3 linked regions of the Canis lupus familiaris genome follow. The main gene of each other region encodes a partner of the protein of the gene in region 3 in a complex. Links are inferred from orthologs where the notes say so. Each region holds a gene or a part of one and is shown on either strand. Other genes may lie near its edges.

The links. Proteins that work in one complex are often made in the same cells at the same time.
Region 1: MICOS13 (region 3) and CHCHD6 share a complex: the UniProt entries of both Homo sapiens proteins name them as parts of the mitochondrial contact site and cristae organizing system (MICOS) complex. The link is inferred for Canis lupus familiaris from reciprocal best matches to the Homo sapiens genes MICOS13 and CHCHD6.
Region 2: MICOS13 (region 3) and IMMT share a complex: the UniProt entries of both Homo sapiens proteins name them as parts of the mitochondrial contact site and cristae organizing system (MICOS) complex. The link is inferred for Canis lupus familiaris from reciprocal best matches to the Homo sapiens genes MICOS13 and IMMT.

The regions. Positions count from the first base shown.
Region 1 is NC_049241.1:896,450-902,539, forward strand, and holds the start of CHCHD6 (MICOS complex subunit MIC25), read left to right. Parts: upstream 1-2,049; 5' UTR 2,050-2,149; coding exon 2,150-2,236; intron 2,237-6,090. UniProt on the Homo sapiens protein: Component of the MICOS complex, a large protein complex of the mitochondrial inner membrane that plays crucial roles in the maintenance of crista junctions, inner membrane architecture, and formation of contact sites to the outer membrane.
Region 2 is NC_049238.1:39,249,409-39,255,178, forward strand, and holds the start of IMMT (MICOS complex subunit MIC60), read left to right. Parts: upstream 1-1,729; 5' UTR 1,730-1,857; coding exon 1,858-1,902; intron 1,903-5,770. UniProt on the Homo sapiens protein: Component of the MICOS complex, a large protein complex of the mitochondrial inner membrane that plays crucial roles in the maintenance of crista junctions, inner membrane architecture, and formation of contact sites to the outer membrane.
Region 3 is NC_049241.1:54,735,565-54,741,121, reverse strand, and holds MICOS13 (MICOS complex subunit MIC13), read right to left. Parts: upstream 3,727-5,557; 5' UTR 3,234-3,726; coding exon 3,205-3,233; intron 2,639-3,204; coding exon 2,461-2,638; intron 2,342-2,460; coding exon 2,290-2,341; intron 1,923-2,289; coding exon 1,825-1,922; 3' UTR 1,688-1,824; downstream 1-1,687. UniProt on the Homo sapiens protein: Component of the MICOS complex, a large protein complex of the mitochondrial inner membrane that plays crucial roles in the maintenance of crista junctions, inner membrane architecture, and formation of contact sites to the outer membrane.

The DNA of each region.
Region 1 (6,090 bases), about 54 Mb from region 3:
ATATGTGGAGCATGTAGTGGATGCTTAAAGTTCCCCACCCAGGTTTTTTTACCAGCTGGTGGGGCCATCCCCCAGCGTCTGGTTGTGGCTATTGACAACTCACAGATGCCCCCTTCACTGGGGAATTGTGCTGGGCTGCCAATAATTGACTGACATGGGGGACAGAAGGCCTGTCCCCTTGTTGTAGGATGAGGCTAATTCTGTATTTAATTTGTTCTCCAGAGCCTTGCCCCCACCCAGCCCTGCCTAGCATTAGGTGGAAGCCAGTCTCCAGCTTTGACCCCACTTCATCCTGTTCTCTTACTTTCTTTCTCCTGAGGCACCTTCCAATAAGCCACTTGAGCCAGAGTCACCTTCTCCCGCTCTGCTTATATGGAAGAAATGGAGGACAGAAAGGAAGGAGAGAGATTTACAAATCAAAGTATTTTGAATGGAAGTAGCAGATATCCTTGTTCATAAAAATCCTCTGGCCCTACCTCTGGAATGTTCATTGGCTTCCTAATTCTCATTGGTCTCTCTCATTCACTCTCTCCTCCTCACTCCTTCTTTTCCAGGTTCCCAAAAGCAGCTCCAAATGACTCTTGCTATTTCATGTAGCAATTTAGGGTTTCTCAGTTCAAGATTTCAAACTCAGCTCCAGGGGCAGCCCCGGTGGCGCAGCGGTTTAGCGCCGCCTGCAGCCCAGGGCTTGATCCTGGAGACCCTGGATCGAGTCCCACGTCAGGCTCTATGTATGGTGCCTGCTTCTCCCTCTGCCTGTGTCTCTGCCTCTCTGGCTCTATGAATAAATAAATAAAATAAAAATCTTAAAAAAATATTAAAAAAAAAAAAACTCAGCTCCAGGCCCACTTTGTAAATCAAAGCCATTTAGCAACTTGGTTGAACAAAACGAGGCTTCATTCAATGTCACTATGGCTATAATTCACAATCATTTGTGTTCCTCCACTACACATATGATCCTGTGTAAGCATAAACACAGTGCTTGATACACTGCCCTGAATGCATGACATGTATGCTCCCTGACCAATGTTTCCTCAATGCTTATGAGCATTCACCGTCTTAACAGGGTATTTAGAATAAATCTCTGGGGATCCCTGGGTGGCTCAGCGGTTTAGCGTCTGCCTTTGGCCCAGGGCGTGATCCTGGAGTCCCAGGATTGAGTCCTGCATCGGGCTCCCTGCATGGAGCCTGCTTCTGCCTCTGCCTGTGTCTCTGCCTCTGTGTGTGTGTCTTTCACGAATAAATAAATAAAATCTTAAAAAAAGTAGACTAAAACTCTGACCTGCCTATAAGGCCCTAGTGATGTGAGACGTTCCTGCTCCCTTCACCTTCTTGCCTCTGGCTCTCTTCTGCTCCCTTGCACTTCTCAGTCGTGTGGCTAAGCCCTGTATTTCTTAAATGCGGCAAGGTCTTCTTTGTCTCAGGGCCTTTGCACTGGTTGTTTCCCAGCCAAGTGCTTCCCTCATCTTCTCCTGGCTAACTCCTACTTATCCTTATGTCTCAATTCAAATCCTTCTTTCTCATAGAGGTTGCTCTGGTCTGTCACATTAGAGACCCCCTCCTACTAGTTTCTCACGGGGCATTGTGATAGTCTTTTCCATTTCTGGCACTTGTCACAGTGGTTAGTAAGCTTATTTATGTGCTTGCTTGTTTGTCTTTTCATTTGTTCCTTCCATTAGGTCTAAATCTCACGAAGGCAGGACGTCTTGTTCCCCACGGCTGGTTCAATGCTTGCTCCGTCTTGGTAAGCGCTGCTCAAAAGGGGTTTGCTGAATGAACCAAGGTCGCCCTCGCATGGCTGGCTCAACTCCTCGGGGGGCTCCCGGCCTTTCAACATCGCCCCCGGCTCTGCTTCAAGGGCGATCTTCCCCTCCCCTGCCTGCTGCACTCCAACACGCTTCCCGCCGCCCGGGCGCCACGCCTCCGACGGGCAGCCCCGGCGGTCCAGACTACAACCCCCACAATGCCCCTCAGGCACGCGCCGCAGGATTGGCTGAGCTGGCAGCGGCGGCCAATAGGACGGGGTCTTGTTGGCTTGTGCCGCACCCGAGTCCCGGGCAGCGCGGGGCGCGCAGGGAGCCGCAGCCCGGCGTCCGCCCGGTTGCTCTGGAGCCGGGTCGCGCGGCCGCCCGCCCGCTCTCCTCCTGCCATGGGGAGCACCGAGAGCTGCGAGGCCCGCAGGGTGTCCTTCGGGATGGACGAGGAGGAGCGGGTCCGGGTGCTGCAGGGCATCCGGGTGAGCGGGCCGCCGGCCGGCGCGACGAGCGAGCGCGGCCTGGGCCGGGTGGGCGTGGGGGGCGCGGGCCGGCCTGAGGGAGGGTCGGGCCGGGGGCGGGCGGGCGGGCGCGCCTCGCTCGGTGACCCTCCCGGCGCCGCGGCGGCGAGCGTCCGCCTGGGACGCGGGGCCCGAGGTCCGGGGGCTGCCCGGGGCCGCCGTCCGGGAGAGGCCGCCGTCGCAGCCCCGCTGGCCGAGGCCGAGGCCGAGAGCGGGGAGGGGAGGGGAGGGGAGGGGGCCCCCTGCACCTGTGCAGCTGCCGTTGCCGGGCGGACCCGGGCGGACCCGACTCTCCGCACTGCAGCTCTGGGCCCAGACGCCTGCAGGCGTGGACGCTCCCCGCTCACCGACGCCGCAGCCCAGGAGCAGTTAGACGTTGTGAATCAGATCACAAACCCCCCTGCTCCCCTCACCCCCGCCCCGCGGAGGCCTGGCGCTTTCCAGACCAAGAGGGGCCACCTCCCTGCCCGACCAGGCCGCCGCGTGTGGCCGCCCCTCACGCCCCGCGCCCCGCCCCGCCCCGCGCCCCGCCCCGCCCCGCGCCCCGCCCCGCGCCCCGCCCCGCGCCCCGCCCCGCGCCCCGCCCCGCGGCCTTCCGACTGCGCGGCGTTGGCCCGGGCGGCTCCAGGGGCGGCTCCAGGGGCGGCTCCAGGGGCGGCTCCAGGGGCGGCTCCAGGGGCGGCTCCTGGCGTTCACCGCTGCGTTGGCGGTTTCTACTCCCCCAGCTTTTCCTGGATCTGCCTCTTGTTGGCGGGGTGAGGATCATCCGAGCATTCTTCGGTGACCAGTCTTCTAAAGTAGCCCCCTCCCTCCGTCACACGTGGTTTTTCCTAGTAGGCGTGAGTCACCATTGGAAACTTGATTATTTATTGTGTTTCCCACCACGTGTAAGCTCCTTGAGGCTAAGCTTCATTTCTGAGTCACGACTCCATCCCCAGAACCTAGGAGAAGTCTAAAAGCAGCCCACATTTGAGTGCTTAGTGGGGACCATGGGTTCCACTGAGTCCTTTACAGGCAACCTCTCATTTACTTTTCAACAGCCCGGTGAGAGAGGTAGAACACTGTTTGCCCATTTTGCAGACTAAGGACAGATTAGACACTGAGAGATGACGTAACTCCGCCCAGGTCAACAAGAGGAAGAGCTGCGATTGAAGCAGGCCAACCCCAGGGCCTGTTGATTGAATGCTGCACTTCATGCACTTGTGCCTGGCACATTGTGGTTTGTAAATGATTGTTGGGTGGCTAAATGGATAAGCCCAGTGAAACAGCCACCAAATCCAAACAAAATGCAGAGCTGAGTATAGGCGAATTAGAGAGTAGCTCAGAAAAAGACATCAGGAGGTCTGACTCCCAGGCAGATGCTTATTAGCTATGTGGCCTTGGGTGAACAACTTCTCTTTTGAGTCTCAATGACCACATTCTTAAGAAAATTAGGGGAGGCTGTATAATCCCAGGTACTGCCTAGGATAAGATGAAGATGTATATGGAAGTGTTTAGAAGTGCTTGTGTTTTGTGATGGCCTCTGTTCTTAGTCTAGTCTAGTGCTTAGCACAGTGGGTGCTTGCTAGATGTTATCTAGTCTTGACCTGGCTCCAGAGAAGACAAAATAGGGAGCAGATGGCCCATGTTTGAAGGTTGAGAAGTAGGAGCCTGAACTGGAATTTAGAAGAACACCCTTGGCTCTGTTTGGGGGCTCTCACCTTTGTCACCTGGTATCCAGTGTTTGGGAAGTTTGGAAGGTTAGGTCAGTCAGGGTCTCCTGAGATTCAAGGGGGTCCTTTTGAAGGTGAGTTCCTCTGAGTTGACAGAAGATCATTTTGGGGGCCATCGTATCAGACTACTACATTTTGTTTCTAGTGCCCTTAACAATTCTGCAAAGTAGAAGTTCTTGTTAAAGATGGAAAGTCAGGCTTAGAGCTGTTAAAGAATTTGTTCAGAGCGTTACCTGATTGGCTGATGGGGCTTGAGTCCAGATCTTTTGAGTGCAAGAAACAGCCTTTTCTCACTACTCCAGGCTCCTTTCCTAAGTAATAGGCAAGGCAGCCTGAAAATTGTGTGTCACAGCCTCTGCCTGTTCTGACAGTACTGGTACCCCACTTGTTTTCTCCCAGAGACTGTTGAAGCTGAAGGGAGCTTTGGTGACTGAATGCTGGGCAGATTCATCAGAGAGAAGAATGACTTGCCCAGAGTATGGCCCCATACTATGAGAGCTCCTTCTTCTCCTTCTTCTCCTTCCTCTCCTTCCTCTCCTTCCTTCCTCTCCTTCCTCCCTTCCTTCCTTGCACTTTTGTGCCTGGTTTTGGGGAGGGAGATTTGAAAAAGGAAGTGATGGTAATGAAGTGTTTGGTGTAGGGGTTTTTTCTACTAGCAGAGTTACTTGAGGGTTGGAGAGTCCACCTTCTCCTTAAGCAGGCAAGTAAAAATCAGTAGAGATTGTTAGATGAGCCAAATGAGAAGTTACTTTAATAGAAGGTAGATGCCAGAGAAGAGTATCTGCCCCAGGTTCTTCAGAGAAAGTTAAATATTCTTAAAGACACTCATATTTAATCCCCAGGCCCTGATCTTGGAAAGTGCTCTAGTTTCCTTAAGATTCAGTTCTAGGGCCTTGCTACTTTGCAATTAATTTGCATAAATTTACATATTGAGTTCAAGCCCTAATTCCAAGGAAGGTAAAAGAAATTTAATTAATGCAAAATGCTGCAATTATATTCAACTGCAGTTTTCAGAGCAAGCATGTGTGAAATACATAAAGATTACTTTTTATCCAGTCTATTTAACCTCATCCTCCAATGAGAGAAGGTGCATGCATGGTCATAATGTCCTGTGTGTGCCCACTTTTCCTCTTTGCCCCATGTAAACAGCCAATATTTGGTAATGCAGATAAAGTTGGTTGCTTTTCAACATGTAGACTCACTGTTCTCCAGCCTTTTCCCCTTCCAACTGCTGCCATTCTTTCCAAGTCACTTGCTGGCCTGCTGCATGATCCTTATGTCCCCAGGCTCATTACGCTCTCAGGGCTACATCACATTTACCATTATCCATTGTTTTCCATGAGGCAAGTTTGGACCACTGCTTTAGGGGAGGACCAAGGAGGATGTAGAAAGATGCACAAGAAATAGTCCCCAAACATGCCATTGCCAGAGAAGCCCTATGCCTGAGCACTGCCCCACTAGCCCCCACTTAACCTGTCACCTCAATAAATACGAACACGTTACTTGTTAGGTACTGGGCCTGGCCTTGCAGAGACAGTAAGGGATGAACGAAGCACAAGATCCTCGCCCTCATGGAAACCTCAGCCCAGTAGCAGGAACAGACCAAAAGGAAGAAAAAGTCAAAAGAATAAAAAAGCACTGCAAGTGTGCTGAAGGAAACAAAAGTGTGCAAAGTAACGGGGACTCCCCATTGGAGGTGGGACGGCAGACACTGCCACCCTGAGGAGGGGACACTGAAGATGCACCAGAGCCAGCCGTGAGAAGTGTGGGCTGAGCTGTGTTTTCTGAGCACTAGCTCAGACCTTCCCCTCGCTGACCTTGTGAGCTGTTCTCCCCATCTCAGATAGGACACAGGTTCAAGGAGGTGAAGTAACCCAAGGTCACAGCTGGTTAGTGGTAGAGCTGGAGGCTAGACCTTCCAGCTCCACAGGCCATGTACTTGGCAGCCACACTGGGGTTGGGATGTGGAGGCTGAACAGGGGATGGACTCTGAGTGCCGGGGAAGGCTGTCTATATGTTTCCTTGGAGGCAACATTGCAAGTCTATAATTAGGAGTGGCGCTTTGGAAAGATTATTCAGTGATGGTGATTTTTCTTTTTATTT
Region 2 (5,770 bases), on a different chromosome or scaffold from region 3:
TTTTAGGGTATGTAAGTGGGTGATGAGCTTTGACTACTATCATTGCTTTCTTAATCTCCCACCTAAGATGGCTAAATTGAGCCTTAAACATATTCTCATGTATTGAAAAAGTACTGAGACATTTCACAAATACTCTTTGAATTGATAATGGAAGTCCTTGCACATTTTTGAACAGAGGAATGATTTAAATTTGTATGTTACTTTGGGGGAGTCCACTTCAAAGCAAAAAAAAAAATCCATAAATTGCACGTGGAGGATGAAGATTAAGGATTTGGTTAAATGGGAGATGAGGAAACAACAAAAATTAATTTTGGAGCTTGAGATTTGGAAGCTGAAGTTGGTAACGATGTTCAGGCCCAGGATGTGGCTGGGCCACACACGGTTAGGGTAGATTTTTTTTTTTTTTTAATTTATGATAGTCACAGAGAGAGAGGCAGAGACACAGGCAGAGGGAGAAGCAGGCTCCATGCACCGGGAGCCCGACGTGGGATTCGATCCCGGGTCTCCAGGATCGCGCCCTGGGCCAAAGGCAGGCGCTAAACCGCTGCGCCACCCAGGGATCCCGGTTAGGGTAGATTTAAATTGCTTATTTGATATTGAGAGGTTTATGGCCAAGATATTAGAAAACTCATTACACTGGCATCACCCCGTATAACAGAACAGCAGTGGGCAGGGACGGGGGGTGGGTGGGAGGGGTTGGGGAGACTGCAATTTAATGCTAAAACTACTTTTAAAAACGGGAGACTGCTTTGGGGGCTGTTAGGTGATGGGGATATGAAATTAGAGAGCGTAACGTAATTTTTAAAGCACCCTGAAAAGCAATGAATATATACGGACATAAGTATTTGATTTTAGGTAATTTTCAAATTCCTTTCTCCATTTTACAAGTGGGATTAGTATCATACTGTGATACCACCATATTGTAAAACACCGTAACTCTAGGAACACCATGCTGTGATAAATAGCCTAGTTAAGACCTAAAAGCACTTAGCAAATGCAACGGATATACACGTTATTCAGTTTCTTTTGATATTGTGATGGTACGATCATTATTAGTAATAACAGTATTGAATACTGTGTTCAATATTTAACATACTAAATCTTGGTTACAGACTCCGTGGAATACTCTGAAGAGTTTTTCTACACTGATCTCCTTAACTTCCGACGCATTCCATCAAAATTATCTTTGTAAAAGGAAAACGTAGTGGGAAAATAAGTGTGGCTTAAATCTAGGAGTAGAAGCGGTGGAACCCGAAGGATGTGGGTTTCTATCCCTGCTCTGCCATTTATTAGATGCGCGAACAACGCGTTCCGCACAAAGGTCTCTCCAGTGTTCGTCCTCCCAATCTCCCATAATCAGGATGACTCCCTGAAGAAAGGCTGTCAAAGCAAACAAACACGCAAACCAAAACACCATTGTTTACGTAACTTTCGCCAAACCGTCTGCTTTCTACGAAATACCCAGCTGACAAATGCGGCCGGGATGTTTTTTTCCTTGAATTCTTCGACGAATAACATCTTCTATCCGCACTGATCAAAGCCCGAGTTTCGCGCTTCCTCTCACCCTCCGGGTTCACCTACTAACCCCTTCTGGCGGATACAGACCAGAACTCCGAAGGCGACCCGGAAGGAGAAATAGCCTTTTCCGCCCGGGGTCGGTGCGGGGGGGGGGCGCCTCTCCGGGCGGCCTGGGCGGGGTCGAGAAAGGGGGCTGCGCGTGCGCAGCGGCGTTTGTTGCCCTTCCGGTAGGACCGGCGCGGAGAGGCGGCACGGACGCAGGGACGTACGCACGCTCTCCCTTACTAACGCCTCCGCGGCAGCTCCCTCGTACGCCAGCCGTGCCCAAGCCCGGCCGAAATGCTGCGGGCCTGTCAGTTATCGGGTGTGACCGCCGCCGCCCAGGTGAGCGCGGGGGCGCTGGGAGAGCGCGTGGTGAGGCGGACTCCGGCCAACCAACGGAAAATGGGAGAGGCTTTCGCTCTGACTAGGCCCCGGGAGAGAGGCGTGTTTCGCGGCCGCCCTCATCGCGGGAGTCCTGGGCCGACCCGTGAAGCAGTTGATTAGGGGGTTCGCCCGACTGGGATGATTTGAGGGTTATTGCTGTAAGCGGGATGGGGTGTGGAGAGAAGGTGGTGGGGAGGCGGGCGCAGGACCGTCAGCGCGGCTTCGGGGACGCGTCGTCCAATCAGCGGCGCGCTGCCCCAGGCAGGGACCAATAGTGGCTCTGGCGCTCGGGTTGCCGGTTGGGCTCGTGATAGGTTTCGCGCAGCCAGTGGTTGAAGGTCGCGGGGAGAACTACAGTTCCCAGCAGGAAACGCCTATAGCCTTGGCTTGTTGCATCTTTAATAAGGAGGTGTTGGGACTGTTAGAGTCCACATTTTAGGGGTCAAGGTTGTAATTACTCGGGAAGGACCTTCTTTTTTGCAGCTTAGAGAGCCTCTGAGGTATTCTTACTCTAGACAAAAAATGAGAGATTGTAGTTTATGAAGTAAAAACTCTGGGTACTGAGGAAGAACAGGAGTCATGACCTTGTGCTCATTTCTGAGGTTAGCTTGGGGATGTATTTCTCCAGGTGCTGGGACAACTTTGGCAGACATCCAGGAAGCCTAGACACCCAGTGACTTACATCTGCACGCTTGTCAAAGTACTTTTCTAAAGTTGGAAATAAACTTCTATTTCTATTGTTCACAGTTTTCAGAATTATTGATATGTTGGAAGATGTATTGCACACCAAGCAGCAATTGAACAAAATCTCTAGTCAGAGTGAGTGAGAAATCATGTCAGGCTTTTTTTTTTTTTCCTTCAAGTTTGCTTGTCTCCCTACTTGTTGCCAGGATAGAAGCAGCTTTTGTAGGCAAGTAGGGTCTGTATTAGTTCTTTTTTGATGCATAACAGGTGTCACACACTTAGCAGCTTAAAACCGCACCCATTTATTCTTAGACTTTCTGGTTATGAATGGTCTGGATTCTTTGTTCGGTGCCGCACAAGGTTGCAGTTGAGGCATTGACTGCTGTGGTGCTCATCTGGACCTCAGAGTCCTCTTCCAAGTTCATTTTGGCAGAATTCAGTCCCTTGCACCTGAGGAACCGAAGTCCCTGTTTTCTTTCCTGCTGTCACCTAACTCTCTTAGAGTTTGCTCCAAGTGTGTTGCTCAGTGACATGGATGTTTGCTTTCTTGTAGGCTACCAGGAGCTTATCTCTTTGACTTCAGAAGTCTCTCTTAACTTTCCTGTTTTTGATCTCTAGATCAGCATGTAAAAGGCTTTAAGATTAGCCTGGCCCACCTGGAAAACCTCCCTTTTGATTAACTCAGAGTCACCTGATGAGTTACACACCTGCAAAATCCCTTTTGTCTTGCAACCCTAATCATGGGCTTAACAGGGTGGAAATTGTGTGGGCCATCTTAGAATCCCTCCTAATGTAGTACCCAAGTGGGACTAGAACTCTTTGAGTGCAGAACTCTTGGTTTGTCTTCAGAGCTCTCCTTTCATGGAACACTCTTGTTCTGCCCTCAGATTATGTCATGGCTGTCACCAATCTCCTTGTCTGCCATAAAATCTAAAATTTTTCTACTTTTTCCTTCCTTGTCTTGATGAAAACGCTTTCTACTTATTGGGATTCCAATTAGGAAGTTAGAAGAAAACATTAAAGCTTCACACTAAAATATGAACCCTTTTCTAGCTTGCATCCGCATTTTCTTAGGGTCTCGAAATTGCGATCTTGTAAAAATTCATTGGTTTCTTCTCATTTTGTAGCATTTGATATTGTTGCTTTGTGAAGCTGTTTTTGCTTTCTGGCTTTTCTTATGTAGTATCTAGGGGCTCTTTATCTTTCTCCTTTTTCCTTTATTGAATCTGCTACTTGTACCTCGAAATATATCCCCAAGGTCTGACCTCTCTTCCCATCTCTCTCTTTTTAATTAAGACTTTTTATTTTTTATATTTTGAAGATTTTATTTATTTATTCATGAGAGACAGAGAGAGAGAGAGGGGCAGAGACCTAGGCAGAGGGAGAAGCAGGCTCCATGCAGGGAGCCCAATGTGGGACTCGGTTCCGGGACTCCAGGATCAGGCCCTGGGCTGAGGGCAGGCGCTAAACCGCTGAGCCACCCAGGGATCCCCTAACTAAGACTTTTTAAAGAGCAGTTTTAGCTTTGCAGCAAAATTGAGGGGAAGGTAGAGATGTTCTGCCCCCACACATGCTTGCTTACCTTCCACCATTATCAACATCCCCCACCAGAGTGGTGCATTTATTACAGTTGATTAACTTACATGGGCATATCATAATCACCCAAAGCCCATAGTTTACATTGGGGCTCACTTTTGGTGTTGTACATTGTCTGGGTTTGGACAAATGTATGATGACATATGTCAGTCGTTACTGGTATCTTACAGAGTATTTTCACTGCCTTAAAAATCCTCTATTCTCCACTTACTCATCACTTTCTTTCCTCTCCTCGCAACCACTGATCTTTTTATTAACTCTTTAGTTTTGCCTTTCCAAAACGTCATATAGATGGAATCATACAGCGTGTAGCCTTCTCACATTGGCTTCAGTCGCTTCATAATGTGCATTTAACTTTCTTCCATGTCTCTTCATGGCTTGACAGCCTTCTTTTTTTTCTTTTCTTTAAGCATTGACTAATATTCCATTGTCTGGATGTACCACAATTTACCCATTCACCTACTGAAGGATGTCTTTGTTGCTTCCAAGTTTTAGCAGTTGTGAGTGAAGCTGGTCTAAATATTTCATGTGTAGGGTTTTGTGTGAACATGTTTTCAGCTCTTGGGTAAATACTGAGGTGCATGATTGCTGTATTATATGTTTAGTTTTTGTAAAAAAAAGTGTCAAACTGTCTTTCAGAGTGGCTGTACCTTTTGCATTGCTAGCAGTGATGAATGGGAGTTCTTGTTGTCCTACATCCTCATCAGCGTTTGGTGTTGTCAGTCTTAGGGACTTTGGCCATTCTGATGTATGTGATAATCTCATTGTTGCCCCATCTCTTTATATACTGTTACTTGGGATTATATCAATTCTCAGAACTTTCATCCCCAGCAGATGGTTCTTTAGATTCTTTTGAGCTTTCTAGTCAAATTTTCTTTTCCTTGTTTGATTTTGTCAACTTTATCCAGAATATTCTACTTGTCAAAATCTTTTCCATTCTGTCAAGCTTCATCTTCTTTGATGTTTTCCTGCTTTACTATTGCCCTTTTAGAGTCTTCTGGAATTTTTTTTTTCATTAGGATTGTAAAAACTGTTACTCATTACTCAGCAGTAATGTCTGCCAAGTATACATGGTAGAAAGTACTTTAATATATCATTGCTCTTTGCTTTTATTGGTGTTAGATCATTTTTTATTATTCCTTATTTTCATCTTTTTAGGCCAGTGGCTTTCAAGCCATTTTGGAATATTTACATCGTAACTTAAGACATGCAAGTGGGAATATATGAGTAATATATATTCATACATGTATGGAGGGAAAACTAAAGTATTAAGTTCCTTCTTTTGCCATATTTAATACTTGCCATTTGCTTGTTGTAACTGAAGGGTACGTTTTCTAAGATAGAGATCTGTGTCTTTCTTTCTTTTTTTTTTTTTTTTTTTTAAGATCTGTGTCTTTCTTGAGAGATAATACTGCTTCAATGCCAAACTTCCTGGATTTTTTTTTTTTTGTGTGTGTGTATATATAAACATATATATGTATATATATTCTTTTTTAAAGATTTATTTATTCATGAGAGACAGAGAGAGAGAGAGAGAGAGAGAGGC
Region 3 (5,557 bases):
TAAAACCCCCTCCCACCTGGGCCACAGATCACCCCACCCACCCTTATCCCCAAGCCTGTGCGCATGGTAACCTAAAGGGCCAGAAGCCCCTTCTGGGGCCCAGTGTCCTCACTGGGGTCCTATAAGGGGAATAGGGAGGCAGGAGAGCTGGGGGGGGGGCTGGACACCCACACGCTCCACAGCTCGCTTTGAAGATGGGGGGGGGCACTCCTGCTGAGTGTGGTGGCCTCTAGAAGCTGGAAAAGGCCAGATACGGACTGTCCCCAGAAAGAGCCAGCCCTGTCCTCCTAGCTCCGTGAGACCCGTGGTGGGCTTCCAGCCTCCAGATCTGTGAACCGGTCGACGTGTGCTTTTAAGCCCCTGAATCTGGTCATTTGTCACGGGAGACTAGCAAACTCCCAAGGCAGTGCTCGTCTGCTGGGATGACTGCCCAGGAGACACCTGGCAGCAACTGGAGACGTCTGCAGCCGTCAGGACCAGGGGACAGAGTGCCACTGGCATTTCGGGGGTGGAGGCAGGGATGCTGTTCAACACCTACTGTGCCCAGGCTGAGGTAGGGCGACCTTGCCTCGCAGTGCTAAGGCCCTGATAGGACACCCACAGGGCAGTCGGGGGGCCTGGGCCGAGTGCCTGACTTCAGGCTGGGAGGAAGGGGTCGGGAGGCTTTCCAGAGGAGGCCAATGCTAAGCTGCAGGCAGGATGAGCCAGAGTCAGGAGGGAGGATGGCCTGCTGAGTGGGTGCCAAGGCCAGTGGTGAAGACCAACTGCGTTCTGGGAATGGGGCCCCTTGGAGGAGTCCGGGCTCAAGGGGAAGGCAGCAGGGAGCCATAGAGGGTTTCCGAGGAGGGCAGGGACATGTTCAGACTTGGACCTGGGAAGTGGATGGAAGGGCACAAGGCCGAGAGCCGGGGGCGGGGGGGGGGGGGCGTCAGTGCAAACAGACCTAGGGCTTGGGGAAGGCATCTCTTCAGAGCTGCTGAGGGACCCGCAGGGCCTGGAGCAGCCTGAGGCCCCAGCAGCCCTCGGGGTACGTGTGTCCGTCTGTAAGAGACGCAGCCCTGCCTGCCCTGTGCCCTCAGACAGGTGCCTCTATCTCCGCCCTTTTCCTCACCTGGAAACCACACGGCCCACCCTCGTCCTCGCTGTGCGGCTGCCTTGGGGGTGGCCAGGTGCTTCCTGAAGCCCTGCCTGCCTGCCTGCCCGGCGCCCCTGGGCCACACCTGGCCATCTCTGCTTTTTTGCAGCCCCCACGTCATGACCCCCTCCCCGGGGACACAGGCCCGTCCTGCGGGGACTGCAGTCGCTCTCGTGAGCAGCTCTACACACGGTGATCACTGAGCGGCCCCGGGAACTCCTGGCCACGCAGACAGCGGGGAGATGAACATGCCCCTCCCCAGGCCCCCAGCCCCGCAAAGCCCCCACCCTGGGCTCAGCCCTCCAGGAAGGCCGGCATCGGCACTTTCTCAACCCGTTCCTGGGCCCCTGAGCACTGTCCGTGGAGCTCCAGGGTCAATGTCTGCCCCCAGCCCCGCACCAGGTTGGAGACTCAGCAGTGGGGTCCGGACGGCAAAGGGGTTAACCAACACCTGTGGTCCAGGTCAGGCCCTGAGGAGCTGCTAGCCCAGGCCCCTTGCTCTGGGCACCAGCCGGGCCACCCCCAGCCCCCAGGGCCAGCACACGGGTCGGGGAGCATTTCCAAAGTCCTTTATTGGGCCGGCAAGGCCGGGAGCTGCCCTCGAGTGGGGTCCCAGTCCCAGTCTGGAGTCTCCAGGTCGCTGGTGCCCCTGCCCCCGTTCCTGACTGGGGCAGGTGGCCTCTGGCAGGCTACTTGATCCGCTCCTTCAGGTATTCCCAGCCGTCCCTGGAGTACTCGCGGGCCTTGGAGGGGGCCACCGACAGAGCTGACATCACCGTGAGGATCCCTGTGGAGAGGGAGGCCCCAGCGCCTTCAGCCACCGCGTCTCGCCCACCCACACCAGCCCCCCGGAAACCCGAGCTCCACAAGGCTTTGAGAGGCACCAGTTCCAGCGCCATCGGTCCCACATGGGGAAACTGAGGCGGGGGGGGGGGCAGGGCCTCATGTTGTCTGAGATCACCTGTCCTCAAAGTAGGCTCCCTCTGGCTCACCCCTCCCTGAAATCTCCACCCTCTTTAGATCCTTTAGATCCGTGGCAGGGGTGCAGGGCAGCACGGGGAGCCACGGGAAGGAGTGACCAGGAAGCAAGCGGTGGCAGGGTTGTGAGGCTGCGGTGGCAGGGGTCACCCCCCAGCACGGGGACCAGGGCCTACCTGAGTTCCAGGTGTCACGGAAGTGAAAGTTAAATTTTGGAGGGGCTGGGAGCTGGGAAGAGAGGGGAGAAGGGGCAGGTGAGAAGGGGAAGGGCCCCGCGGCCCCAGCCTCGCAGGACCGAGCCCGTGGGAGGACGCGGACACGGACACGGACACGCCGCCGGGGGCTACCTGGGGCATCTTCAGGCCGGTCTGCTCGCACACGTACTGGCTGAGCTGGTACATGGCTGGGGGCACCACCTCCTCGGCCCTCTGGAGCACAGCCTGGCTCTTGTCGCTTGGGCCCAGCAGCTCCTGGTCGTACACCAGGTAGACCGCACCCCCGGCCACGCTGCCCTTGATGAGGAACCTGCGGTGGTGGGGGGGGGGGAGGCAGGGCGGCGGCTCAGCAGCTCCCCGGCACTGCCGGCAGCCCCGGGCTCCTGGCCCACGCGGGGCGCCTGGGTCCGGGGAGTGACACAGCGAGGCCGGGCAGCGGACACGGAAGAACAAGGAGGCGGCCGGGCACCGCCTGGCACAACGCTCCCCTCACTGCACAGAGCACAGCCCCTCGGCCCCGTTTAACAGGTAAACTGAGGCCCACTCGTGATCCGCACACGGCGCGGCGAGGGAAGGCCTAGACCCCCGGCCTTGTGCCTCGCGGGGTCCCGCGCGGCCCTGGGCGCTCCTTGGACGTCGCGCGTCGCCCCGGGCACCCGGGGTCTTGGCGCAGCGCGGGCGGCACTCCCGCCGTCCAGGGGAGGCACCTGCGGCCCCGGATCGCGGGAGGCCCCTCCCCTCCTGACCCTCAGGTCAGGCCGAGGCGGGACCCGACGCCACGGAACTCCAAGACCCAGCCGGAAGCAAACCCGGCGGGGGGTGCCCACGGGAGGGGCTTTCTCGGGGGCTCGGAGCCCGCCCCGCCGCCCCACGCACCTCATCAGCGACCACACTCGGGGCACCATGGTCGCTCGGCTCCGCGCGCAAGGACACTCGACTCGCCCGCCGCTTCCGGTGACTGCGCCGCAGAGGCCTCTGGGAAACGTAGTCGCCCGACTCAGCCGCAAAGGCCTGTGAGAGTCGAAGTCGCGCGGCGGCCGCAAAACGCCGGAGAGGCTCCGCAGCCCTCCAGCGAAAGGATTCTGAGAAGTGTAATCTTCAGAGCCCGGACGCCGCAAGGCTGCCTGGGAAATGGAGTCAGGACCAACCCCCGTGAGGCGCCGGACGGCTCGCCCAGCCGCCGAGACTGCTGGGAGATGTAGTCCGGTCTGGCGCGGCTCCGGCGGCGTGCGAGGAAAAGAGGAGTCGGGCGTCTAGACTGAGGCCCGACAGTGGCCCAAGAAGGCGTCGGAGTCCGGGAGATCCACCCGCGCCCGCGCGGGGGACCGAGGGCCCCGGCCCAGGGCGAGTGTGCCAATAAGATGGTTGGTTGTCACGGCAACGCGAGGTCGGAATTGTGCGTGGGAGGCGGGCCCTCGGTCACGTGCCTGCCTCGGGGGCGGGGCTTTCGTCCAGGGGGCGGGCCCAGGACCACGGCGGGGCGAGGGCGAGCCGGGCGGAAGGCCGTTGCCGGGCAACGCCCGGGCGCCGCGCTCCCCCGCCAGGCCCCGCCCCCTGCGGAGGTGGGCTCGGTGTCACGTGACCCGGACCCTACGGGAGGGGGCGCGGTCGGGGGCCCGGCGGAGCCGGCAGCGTAGGGAGGTGCGAGTCCGAGGGGTGCGCGCCGGGCTCCCAGGCCCGGACCCCAGCCCCGCTGGACGGCGGGAGAAACTGAGGCCCGAGTGGGTGAGTACGAGGTTGGGAGCGCGCGGCACGTCGCACGCCCTTTTTGTCCAGAGGGGAAACTGAGGCTCTGTGAGGTCAGGGGACCAGTGCGTTCTGCGAGGGTCTGGTTCTCCCAATTCCGTCCCCATGGGACGCCGGCCGGCTGCTCCGTCCATCCATCCACCCACCCATCCACCCAGACGGCCAGCCGGCCGCCCGCCCCCGCCCCCGCCCCCGCCGCGTGGCTGCTGTGGTCAGGGTGGAAGAGGGTCAAGTTGCGGGACTTCACGGGCGTCCCCTGGAAAGCGGGGAGAGGTGGGATGGCTGCCGTGACTGGGGAAGGGCGAGGACTTCACTCTTCGGAGAGCTGAGAAAGAGTCACAGACAGGAACCCGGCAAGATGAGAAGGGACAGGTGGGCCAGGGCCGGGCCCGCGGCGCATTGTGGGCCGGGGTGAGGAGCTCGGTCTCCACGAGGGGCAGTGGCGAGCCCTGAGAGGGTTTGCAGCAGCAAGGGGCAGTCACATTTCTTTGGGTAAATATGTCTTGGGCTGCCCGGAGAGCATAGGGTGCGGAGGAGGGAGTGGGAGGGTGGGGGAGGCAGGGGGAGGCAGCTGGAAGTTGGCAGTAGGTCGAAGGATCTAGACATCTCAGAGCTGAGGGCACCCCAGCCCCACCATCTCTCAGTTCTACAGTTCTACCCCTACTGCGTTCAGAGAACAGAAACCCCAGGATGTGACGGGCCTGTGCCTTCCTTGGGGGAAGATTCGTGCCCCCCTGAATCGTGAAGTCCTTGGCCTGTTTCTCTCTTTCACCTTCTCCCCGGAACAAGTAAATCCACTCCCACAGCTCAAGTCACATCTTAACCGTGACGACACAGGCTCCTTCCTGGTGTCTCCAGAGTCATCTCTCCGGGTCCCCCCAGCTGTCACTTCCAATGTTCGTCACATCACTCAGGGCCAGTCTCGTGTCTGTCGAGCATCTGCTCCATGTCTGGCAGTTTGGGGGCCACTGAGGACCCAACAGCGAACAAAGCAGAAGCAAGTTTCCGTTTCCTTCCTGCCTCGTGGAGCTGACGCTCTAAGAGGAGAGAGGGACAGGGAGCATGTAACAGATCATCAGGATGATTTCAGATCATGGCAAGTGCTGAGAGCGTGGAAGTTTTAGAGGCAAGAGGAGGGAGAGGGACCAGGAGGTACTTTAGGAAAGGAGGCCAGGGGGTTTTCCTTGGAGAAGGTCAGTTTTGTGCTGACTTCAGAGAAGTGAGAGAGCAACTCATTGGGTTATATTTGGGAAGAGCATTTCGGGCAGAGGGAGTAGCCAATGCAAAGGCCCTGAGGCAGGATGGAGTCTGGCTCCTTCTAAGGAATGCTGAAGAGGCGCTGTTTTGGCAAACAGAGCAAGAGGGGCTGGTCCTCGTGGGGCCTTTTTGAGCATCAAGGAGCCTGGCTTTTGTCCTAAATGAGATGGGGAGGGTTTTCAGCAGGGGGAGGTAAGATGTAATTTGGCTGCTTCTAGGAGGGAGA